Saccharomyces cerevisiae S288C: one gene and its partner. Changing the gene in region 1 together with any one later gene gives a genetic interaction. Each region holds a gene or a part of one and is shown in the gene's direction. Other genes may lie near its edges.

Region 1 (5,319 bases):
TCGTCATTGGTTGGGCTATTGCAGGCTCTCAAATCATCGGGACGATTCATGGGCTAGGTGAAATCACGGTGCGGTTCCCCGTTGTCGGGGCCTTTGCCAATTACGGCACAAGGTTTTTGGATCCAAGTATAAGTTTTGTTGTTTCGACCATATACGTGCTACAGTGGTTTTTTGTATTACCCTTAGAAATCATTGCGGCGGCAATGACCGTACAGTACTGGAACTCGTCTATTGACCCCGTAATTTGGGTAGCCATCTTTTATGCTGTTATTGTTTCCATAAATTTGTTTGGTGTACGAGGTTTTGGGGAAGCGGAATTTGCATTTTCCACCATAAAAGCAATAACAGTTTGCGGATTCATTATATTGTGCGTTGTCCTCATTTGCGGTGGAGGTCCCGACCACGAGTTCATTGGCGCCAAATACTGGCACGACCCTGGTTGTTTGGCCAATGGGTTCCCGGGCGTTCTATCTGTTCTTGTTGTTGCTTCGTATTCTCTCGGTGGTATAGAAATGACGTGCCTGGCATCAGGTGAAACGGACCCCAAAGGCTTACCAAGTGCTATCAAGCAAGTGTTTTGGAGGATCTTATTTTTCTTTTTGATATCACTGACCCTGGTAGGATTCCTGGTTCCATATACAAACCAAAACTTACTGGGTGGTTCATCTGTGGACAACTCACCTTTTGTCATTGCCATAAAATTGCATCACATTAAAGCCTTGCCCTCCATCGTCAATGCGGTCATCCTTATCAGTGTTTTGAGTGTAGGTAACTCCTGCATCTTCGCTTCAAGTAGAACGTTGTGTTCGATGGCCCACCAAGGCCTTATTCCATGGTGGTTTGGTTATATCGACCGTGCTGGTAGGCCACTGGTTGGCATTATGGCAAATTCACTATTTGGATTACTAGCATTTCTGGTCAAATCTGGCTCGATGTCTGAAGTTTTCAATTGGTTAATGGCCATTGCCGGCCTGGCCACGTGCATTGTCTGGTTGAGCATCAACCTGTCACATATCAGATTTAGACTGGCGATGAAGGCTCAAGGGAAGTCTCTGGATGAATTAGAATTTGTTAGTGCTGTCGGGATTTGGGGATCAGCGTATTCCGCTTTAATCAACTGTCTAATCTTGATAGCTCAATTCTATTGTTCACTATGGCCCATTGGTGGCTGGACCAGCGGCAAAGAAAGGGCTAAAATATTTTTTCAAAATTATCTGTGTGCCTTAATCATGTTATTTATATTCATCGTCCACAAAATTTATTACAAGTGTCAAACAGGCAAATGGTGGGGGGTTAAGGCGTTAAAGGACATAGATTTGGAAACCGATCGTAAAGATATCGACATCGAAATAGTCAAGCAAGAAATTGCCGAAAAGAAAATGTACCTAGATTCCCGTCCATGGTACGTGAGACAGTTCCATTTCTGGTGTTAATACCGAAGAAACAAGTTCAATTTATTTTTGTAGAATATTTTTTTTTCTCTTCTCTAGTACTCATCCTTCATAATTAATTATTCCAGATCATTTAATGCATAACGACATGACAATAAAAAAAAAACCTGACATTTTGAAAAATTATCATTTGAATACGTGGATGAAGACTTCTTCGAGCCAGGCCGCAATAAAATTAATAATATATATAGACATCAATTCTTGACCTACACAAAAATAGCTTCTCTCGGTAGCCAAGTTGGTTTAAGGCGCAAGACTGTAATTTATCACTACGAAATCTTGAGATCGGGCGTTCGACTCGCCCCCGGGAGATATTTTTTTACTTTTGCACATCGCTGGTCTTAGCTTTTTTACTTGATTCGCATTGCAATCTATCTGCCAAGAATGAACAAGTATTTTTTTCCTCTGCATCTTTCCCTGCCGTAGGAATCAAATTTGCAACAAGTCTGCAATGTCTAACACCTTTGTTGCAGTCGAATTCTCGTGGCTGTACGCAATTTCTCTTATCCTACCGTGTGAAACAATTCGCGTCGCGTGGGCGCCGAAAAGGGCTTATCACGGCACATCTGAAGAAAAGAGACGGCTGGCTCCAGCTGATATTTAGATATTTTTAGTTGAATAAAGAGGCAGGCGTCAGCGATATTGCATTGTCGCTGTGGTGGGCAGAAAGCCACGGTAATGCATGTCCTGTTGTCTCTTATCCTTGTTGATAAGAAACCCTCTTGATCAGCTAGTCATAATTTTGTCTCTTCTTGCATTCTCTTTCCGATATATAACTTATATCTTCAGGTGTCAGGCAATAGAAACAACAAGGCACAGCGTTAAAAGACCATCATTTCATTTTAGCTTGTCCAAGCACATACCATTTTTCACTCAAGCTATAGCAGAGAAGTTAGTAAACATTAATAGATTATAATATAAGAAAGGCTATGAAGAAAAATTCTTCGGTAGTTTTCTTCCTTGTGGGTCTATCACAATTCGTCACTATGGCGTTTCTCATTATCGGATCCATTACGGCTCCAATTTTCAAACAAATAGGCTATTCTAAATATGATGAGATCACATACGGTACATTCGGCTACTGTAAAGAGGGCTCCTGCTCAAAAGCAAGTTATAATTATCACCCCGATGAGCTATCAGACAGTGATAGCAACTGGAAACTCAATAGCAACGCTAGGTCTATATTGGGGAAAATCATCTTTATCACACCCATTGCTGCTGGTCTTAATTTTTTGGGATTTCTTTGTACCATCATGAGCGTTTTATTAATTAACGTGCTATCCAGTGATAGAGTTGGTAGTGCGTCTGCCATCATGTTTTTTGTTAATTTGACATTTTCCACTCTAGGCTTTCTTTCTGCTTCTTTGATATGTATCGTGGTATTTTTACTGTTTTACCCACATGTAACCTGGTGTTCATGGGTCCTGATACCAGGAGCTGCTTTATCTCTACTAGTAATTCCTTTGATATTCTCAGCTTATTCAAGAAGCTCAGGCTCAAGGGATGATGACGAAACCGAGGAACTGGAAGAAAAGGGCATGCTGCTGAATGACCCATATCTAAGTTCGAAGTCCGGGAGATTCGATATCGACGCTGATAGTGAGGCCAACCTCCGTGGTGATTCAAGAACGAATTTATTGGGTGACAATTTTAAGAACGGTACTAATATCACTGTTGTCCCAGATATTATTTCACACAATCAAGATCCGAAATTATCAAACATAACCACTTCTACCACGTCTGATATTTCTACTTTCGATAAAGAAGCAAAGGACATGGAAAATTCAAATGGTTCCGGACTTAATGAAGAAGAGGACGATGGCATGGCCTATGACAAAAGGAGGTCAACTTCAACGTATTCTGTCATTGAAAGTGAAAGTGGCTTGAAAAATGGGAGTGTTTCTAATAATTATGTGAGAAACAATGGTAGTAACACCAGCAACAATATAAACTATAAAGTTCCGCTAGGAAAAACGGAAATATCATCCAGTGCATCATTAGCGTCCTCAGACTACTCTCAAAGAGAGGTCATACCGCACAGAAATCCTTCGAGACTACTAAACGACATCATGGAGACCTCCTTCAATGAACCAAACGATAGCCACATCAACAGCATGTCCTCCTACAACGATAAAGATTCAACGTTGACTTCAATATCACAGAGAGGTGTCAATCCGGAAGTATACAATCAAATGCCTCGAGAAACAGCCGCTGGTCCTGCAAATATAAGGCCGTACGCTGGTCAGCCACACCCGGCGCCATTAGTGTATCCCCAACAACGACTACAACCACAACAACAGCAACCACAGCAGCAATATCATCAATACAATTTATATCAAAGAACTACTCCTGCTGGTCCAGATCCTTCTAATGTTATTTTACAAAGCAATCCTTATTTCAACGTTGCCCCAAACCAAGTGCCACAGCACAGAAATCCGGTACCAGGCGTCGGTTTTGCTCCGAATCCTTTACCAAACCAAAGCCCGATAACACAAGGATATAAGCCTGCCTATAAGAGGAGAATGCAAAACAAAAACTTGCCCCGAGCTACTACTTCACTGAACAATCCTTACGGATTTAGGTAAAAAAAGAAAAATGAAGGTTCTTTTTTTTTTTTTATATTCTACAAATCACAATAACCACCAACTTGTATTAAACCATATTTTATCATCTTCAGGAACTACTTATGCACAATATTCGTTCGCCAGTCTTTACTTGCGGTTCAATTTTATCCCATATAAATTTGTATTTTATTATCATACTACATACTTTATTGAAATCATATATTAACCTTTTCACTTTTCTCAAATAGAACGAGCAACAGGTCATATGAACGCTGACTAAATCTCTCAATTTTCTTCAAAGCATATTATAGTTCAAAATCGCGATGCGGTACCGTGAAAGTTTTGTCATCAAAGTAGGTCATCCAAAGCATCATTCTCAGATTCTGTTACTTCAACGATACTCGGCAAGTTGCTCTCTTCGTCATTAATATGGGTATTACTGCCGTCATCATGACTGTTATTAACTGTTTTATTATCATCATTGTTGTACTTGTTGCTACCATTATTACGACCACCACTGCCACCGCCATGTGGTTTCAACATAACAAAGAAAAAGAGCGCTATTACGCACAATGTTAGTAATAAAATGACTTTACATTTTTGAGTTCTCTTCTGGTAGTGTGTTGCTTTATTCAACTCTTTATCTGCACTTTTTAGCTCTACCACTGTATTTTCCAGATTATAATCAATCCTGTCCACAATAGTCCCCTGGTCAACAACCAAATCTTGCATTTCCCTGAAAATAGTGCTCACTTCTAATACACCCCTTGCCAACTGAGTAATTTCTTCGTCACGTTCTCTCAAATATGCTTCTGCAGAAGTGTCATGAAGCTGTTGCTGTCTCTGCAACGTCCTTTTTGAATAGTCTTCAATATCGAGGCCCTCTCTCTTCTCTCTTGCTGCCTCCTCTTCCTCATCATCTAATAATAGCGTGTTCTCTGCACTGGCCTTATTGCGGATAGGTTTCAAATCATCCTTGTTCAAGAATTTCAAGTAATTATTTTGTAATACTCTGAACTTATTACTTTCAGTTTGTATCTTTTCTGCATAGATCTTCTGTAGATTATCTAGTATAATCAGCTCTTCTCGACTTAATTGCTTACCATCCACAAATTGAGAGTTGTATATGGTCTTTAATCGTTTCATAACAGCGTAACATTTCTGCAGCATCTGAATTACTTTGAAACTTAGATCTTCAATCAGCGCCTCATCATGACTCTTGTCTTCAAAGCCAGGTAACGAATTCTTCCTATAAACCTTCGCCAACTGCTCACTTAACCGTCTCACCTCCAGAAGATAATCAT
Region 2 (6,575 bases), on another chromosome or scaffold:
ACATCAAATGAGGGCATCACAGGGCGAGAAGGTAACGATAATTCTTGAAGAATGGCGAGAATTTTGTTCTGCAGCGCAGGTTTGAAGGTCGATAATTTTGTAGATCTTAAGTATACACCCGGCGATAGCTTCTCACCATGCGTAATCACACCTAAAGCCTTCCTTTCATCTGAATTGAAATCTTTCAGCAATTGTTCTGCATATGCGCTTTCTGACTTTCTTTTGAGCGCCGTTTGCATTTCCTGTCTTTGTCTTTTGGTTTTCTTGGGGGAGAGATTTTCCTTGACTTCTGACTTTTTTACATTCAGTTGTTGAAGTTGCCTATGTTGGGCAAACTGCTGTTGCTGCTTCATCCAAGGATTTTCAGGGATGTTCAAATCGTGCTTCCGCTTTCTAGTTTTATCTGCTAGAAGCGCGTTATATAACTGAGACATTCCCTGAGAGGTAAGGTATTGTGTAATTGTCTGATCTGAATGTGGCGAGTCCAACAGTCGGAGTAATGATTCTCTTTCTGCAAGTGTTCTCTTGGCAGCCATTTCAAATTTTTTGGACTCTACTACGAGTGCCTCTTCTTCAGCAATTTCTGCTGCAGAACGAGAAAGAAGACGCTGTAAATACTTTTTTCTCTCTATCTCCTTTTCAGCTGAAAAATTCAAAGAAGATAAAAGCGGATTGCTAGGATCACTTGCTTTAAAATAATTCCTACAGGTGTAATAAAATTTTTCTTTGAGATCTTCAAGTGTTCTTGAATTATTATAACTGTATCTGTCAAAGATCAGGAACCAACGTAAATCGTATTTTTTGCAGAGATTGAACAGGTATTCTATTTCTTCAAAAGACCAGCTATTTTTACTTTCATCCTTCTTTTCATTAGTAAAGTTTTCGTTATGGTTTTTTTCACTTTCTACGCTTTTTTGAGTTCCTTCGTTTTCATTCATAAAAGCCTCGTACTCCTCCTTGGTGAATGATGGAATAGATAAATGCTGATTGAACTTAGAATATGGCGATTCTTTTGGTGTGTCTCCTATTAATTCTTTGGAACCCTTGACCCAATGACGCAGAGTCACAGAGTTATTAGCTTTGAACTCTACAAATGACCAAGGAGATGGCTTGGACGTCGAAAGCATTTTTTCTTTAAAGTTATTTCCAGACTTAATAACAACGGGGGGTTGGTTCTCTCCTAGCAGGTTAAATAGTTCTCTTTGCATGCCCGTCACTTGAGGCTTGGGCCGGTTGGCTGCCGAGGACGAAGGCACTGATACCTGGCCATTAGTTGGACTTCTGGATTTTTGCTTAATGTTTAGTACATCAAAGATGTCTGATGATGACATATTACCTGTGGTTTTTTTACTAAATTTTCGTATTATCGGAGAAATATGTTATGAATGCTTGTTGCTATTAAAATACAAAGTGGATTCTTGATTTATCACTAAATAGCTACCCGGAGTTGGCGCATCGCAACTTCATTAAATAAGTTCGAGTGTGCGTATTCTAATCTGATTCATATAAAGTATACTCTAAACGGGCTAACTCAAATCTGAAATTAGGGCTACTATATGATAACTAATAAGAAAATAAAGATAAGTGTCCCAGAAAAACTCGGTTTGTCAGAAGAATCTTTTGAGGAATCCTGGGAAACAGTTAAATATGCCATTGATCATATATACAGCGATGACATGGCCGACCTTTCCTTCGAACAAGTGTACAAGACCATTTATACTATCGTTTTAAATAAAAAGGGGCCAATACTTTATAACAGATTGAAAGATTATTTAATCCAAAAATTAGCGCTTTTGAGGGAAACGATAGTCAAGGACAATACTCATGATTATGAGTTTCTTGGAACTATGGCACGGTTATGGGAGGTGCAATGCCATTGTTTTAAAATAACGGGAGACTTAATGATGTATATGGACAAAGTTTATTGCAAACCAAATAGATGCATGGAGGTATACGACATGTGCCTCGATCTTTTCCGAATCGAAATATTGCAAAAATGCTCATCTTCTCTCATCTCAGCACTGATATCTGATATAGAAAGGATTCGTAATTTAGGATCTGTCGACTCCGAACATACTAGTTTGTGGAAAGTACTAATAGGAATGATGGAGACATTACATGACAATAGAGATAGTTTTTTCTTAACCGATTTTGAGCCGGTTTTGATTAGCGCGACAGAAGAATACTACAATAAAGCTATTGATATTGAATTATTAACGCCAATTGAGAGCCTGGAAAAGATTAGGAAGTTAAGGCAGTTTGAAAGTATGCTAGACTCCTCTTTTCTAAATGTGGATTCTCATAATAAGTTGAAGACTGTATTAGAAAATGTCCTTATATGGGGAAAGTTGAGTGATATTATTGAAGATCTAACGCACGAAGCAATGGTAATTTCAAATGGAAAGCTACTCCAAGAAATTTATGACTTGTCAAGCGAGGAAAAATATCGCGTTACTGTCATTGAATCTATTAAATCTTACATCAATAAAAATGCCATAAATATTCCTTTTAATGAAGGTAACCGCAAAAAAGGGCAGAATGCGATTACTTGGTCTTCGGAAATTGTAGAGCTATATCGCAGTCAACACTCGTTTTTGGAAAGTATTGATTTTGGTTCTGTTCGTCTTAATAATTTGACCGGGGATGTATCTAATGCAATACTTGGCGATGTTTTCTCAATGTATTTCTCTAAAGAAGGAGCATTACCATCTGAGTATCTTTCTACCTACGTGGACCATTGTATGAAACGAACCAAGGAAAAAGATGCTGAAATAGTGAAGATCAAGCAAGATTTGCTTGATAGTACCAAATTAATCGGACTCCTAACTGAGAAGGATATATTTGAAAAGATTTACAAAAAACAACTCTCCAGAAGATTACTGCAGCAGAGGTCTTTAGTGGAAATTGAAAAATGGATGGTGCAAATGATAAAGAAGGTTCTAGGAACTTTTTTTACCTCAAAATTGGAGATAATGCTGCGAGATATATCTTTATCCTCTGAAATGTATCAAGCATTCCAACACTCAACAATCAACAGCATAGAATATTTGAGTTTTGCACCACAAGTTTTGACGAGAACGAGCTGGCCCTTTCAGAGTACTAATCCAATTGATGAAGGTATTTCACTACCTCCTAGAATGTCACAAATTTTAGCTGGCTTTGAGGGCTATTACAGCTTAAAATACAAAGAAAGAGTGCTAAAGTGGGCTCATCATCTAAGTGTAATTGAAATTGGCTGCCAATTTAATAGCGGTTACTACGAAATAAGTTTTTCTGTTTACGCTGGAGTGATTTTCCTTCTATTTGAAGATTATGAAGAATTAACGTTGGGGGAAATATATGAACTAACTCATATTCCCATAGATGACGTTAAGTCTCTTGTAATGTCAATGTCGACAATACCCAGATGTAAGATTTTGAAAAAATCATCCAGTTCAGGAAATATGAAATTTTCAGTTAATTATTTCTTTTCTTCTCCAAACAGGAAAGTGAAAGTGCCGGTTATTGCATGCCCTCTACCATCTCAGAAATCAGATAATTTGGCAACCGCAAGTTCCGTGGACACTTATGATAATGAAATTGTTATGGAGCTTAGTGCTATTATTGTTCGTATCATGAAAACAGAAGGTAAGCTAAGCCATCAGCAATTACTTGAAAGAACTACGAAACGGACACAGTCTCGGCTCAGTCTTACACCGAGCATTTTGAAACGAAGCATTCAGCTTTTAATAGAGAAAGAATACATCCAGAGAAACGCAGATGACCCCTCTTATTACCATTACCTTTCCTAATTGCTTATAATGAAAATCACAGGTATAAGGTTTGCAGAATGCCAACAGTATATATAGATGGCAGTTCCTATCCGGCTGCCAGAGCGAACAATATTAAGAGGATATGCGTCGATACTAATTGAATGTTCATCCTGCATTCCTTAGTGAAACTTTCAAAATATATAATAACATAGTTATGGTAGACTATATATCCCAGTCAAACTTGAATGTAATGTGGAGTGGGTAATCGATATCTCTTGAAGTTTATTATGCCTCATTATATTTTTATAAAAAACTTCTAGGAATTTGTTGAGTCAAATAATTTCTTTCTTAATCATTAAGTAAGTTAAAGTTACGAGCCTTTCAGACCTGCGTAGCACTGCTTCAAAGGAACTATTATCAATAGCAGCGCCTTGCTCTTTTTTTTTTTTCAGATGCTTAGCGGCCGTATTTCACTTTTCCTGGTAGAAAAATATATGTTGAAATTTACGGTATAAGAGAAGCTCACCAAAATTATTATCAATAAAGCGGCACTTTTAAATTTGGTATTCTTCCCTGGTTGTCAAGCCTTGGTTTCCCTTTATTTGATAGTATGAGCGAAATAAATAATGAAAATCTAGAGCCAACCTCAAGTACAGTAGCTGAGTCTACAGAAAGCAAGAATAAACACATTCGTAGCGCTTTAAGAAAACGAAGAGGTAAATTAAGCGCCCAAACTTATGAGGAAGATCAAGAGGCTATTTTATCATCTCCTTTATTGACTTCAACACCTAAAACAGTCTCCAGGTCATTAGTGAGGTTATACCCATATTTAATTGTTGTGGATAACTTTCTAAGTATCATCACTTGGTCCAATGACAATGTCTCTGCAAACTTGCTTGGAATATTCTTATTTACGGTTTGTGTTCTATATTTTGGATTTATTACAAGGTATTTTGGACATTTAATGATCGTTGGTATAATATGGGTATATCTTTTAATTGACAAGCACGTTCAAGAAACAATGGCATCTTGCCCTTCATTGGATGATATAATACACGTTATGGATAGGGTTTCTATGAAATCTAGCGCTGTGTTATCTCCTATTACGATTTTGAGCGCTCAGGATGTTAGAAGACTGTTATTTACCATTGCCTTCCTATCCCCAGTTTATATTTTTCTAACAGTGTTTGTGCTATCTCCAAACTATTTAATGTTAATAGGGGGTCTGTATGTGCTTACGTACCATTCTAAACTAATCCGAAGAATGAGAAGATACTTGTGGAAATTTCGCGTTGTTAGATTACTTGTATTTTTCATAACAGGATTAGACCTTGGTGGACCAGATAATAATAGGCGCTTGTTTGCTTCTGTCAATAAGAAAATAAGGTCCTTTGTTTGGAATGAGGTAGGGAACACATCTAACACTAAAAAGACTGTACTTTTCAAGGTTGCTCTGTTTGAAAACCAGCGCCGCTGGCTTGGCATCGGATGGACATCAACTATGTTGAGTTATGAGCGCGCATCTTGGACAGATGAATTCCTAAATACTTCTCCAAGCCCAGAAGTGTTTACTTTACCAGAGGAGCAGTCGGGAATGGCTTGGGAATGGCACGATAAAGATTGGATGCTTGACCTAACAAATGATGGGATCATTCAACTTCCTGCTTCTGCTGCTAAGACAAAAGTTAAGCCAGGTGCAGATGAAGGTTTCATATATTATGATAACACCTGGAATAATCCCTCTGCAACGGACACATATAAAAAGTACACAAGAAGAAGGAGGTGGATCAGGACTGCAACAGTAACAACAACGTATGACGATGAGCCCACTGTAGAAAAAGCTACACCGAATTCTCATGCTCTGAAGAGTGAAGAAAATAATAGAGTTAGAAAAAGAAAAGTGTCATTTAGTACAGCAAATGAAGTGCATATCATACCTTCCTCGGACAGTAGCAAATTAATACAAATATCTGATGTTTCAATGTCTCCTTCTCTATAATGAGTGCATGCCCCATATGGACAACAACGTTCACACTGGTCGGTGCAAGGGCACACAGCAATCTCAGAGTTTCTTTCATTGGCTGCATGGAGCACAAATTCAATCTTGTGCTTTAAAGTATCTGCGCGGTTATGGCAAGTTCTCCATCAGTCTCTTATTCCAGCAAGCATTCTTTTACGGAACTTCAATGCATCTAAATACATATGTACAGATAGCCAAAACTAATAGAGACATAATAAATTAAACAAAACTGTAAATTTTAAAAAGAGTATATATAGGGCTCAAGAAACTGCGTAAATATAAAATTAATGAAGAAAATCTGATTGTCAACTAAACGACATCTTCCATTTCTATTTCATCTTCCAAGTCAGCCTCCGCGTCTCCTTGCGCATTGTCTCCAGCGGAACCTGTTTGCTCATCAGCTAGTTCACCTAAGGTTGCCTTTCTCTCCTCCTCTTTCAACTTTTTATACTCTGGCCTTAAAGTGTATTTGAATGCATATGGGCCCTTCTTCACTAGAGTGGCAACTTTATCCAAACACTCCTTTAAATGTGCTTCAGGTTGCCTAGTACGTTCCTTCAACCCCTTCAAGGACCAGTAGTCATACTCATCAAATAACTTGAACAAGTAATCCAAGATTTCCTTCTTTGGCATACGAATAGATTTAATATTGCTCTTGGCCTTCTCACGCCCCACTTTCAAGAAATTCGAGTTGTCTGACCTCATGGACATACCTGTGTGGCTCATCGTAACACCAACGGTTTCATCCAAAGTTGTGATCCTTTCCTTATTATTAAGCTTGACAATATTTCTTCTCTGTTCAA

The links. Genes that interact genetically often act in the same process or in processes that back each other up.
Region 2: mutations in YOL019W-A (region 1) and CUL3 together harm fitness more than expected from each alone (negative genetic interaction), as found in Saccharomyces cerevisiae (one large-scale study listed by BioGRID).

What each region holds. Positions count from the first base shown.
Region 1 is NC_001147.6:286,518-291,836, forward strand, and holds YOL019W-A (uncharacterized protein), read left to right. Parts: upstream 1-1,902; coding exon 1,903-2,055; downstream 2,056-5,319. Other genes in the region: aromatic amino acid transmembrane transporter TAT2, read left to right, coding at 1-1,433; TOS7 (Tos7p), read left to right, coding at 2,381-4,036; t-SNARE syntaxin TLG2, read right to left, coding at 4,364-5,319.
Region 2 is NC_001139.9:498,576-505,150, forward strand, and holds CUL3 (cullin CUL3), read left to right. Parts: upstream 1-1,556; coding exon 1,557-3,791; downstream 3,792-6,575. Other genes in the region: SWC4 (Swc4p), read right to left, coding at 1-1,331; PEX31 (peroxisome biogenesis protein), read left to right, coding at 4,363-5,751; transcription factor IIF subunit TFG2, read right to left, coding at 6,082-6,575. UniProt on the Saccharomyces cerevisiae protein: As part of the CRL3 E3 ubiquitin ligase complex; polyubiquitylates monoubiquitylated RNA polymerase II subunit RPO21 to trigger its proteolysis; plays a role in global genomic repair.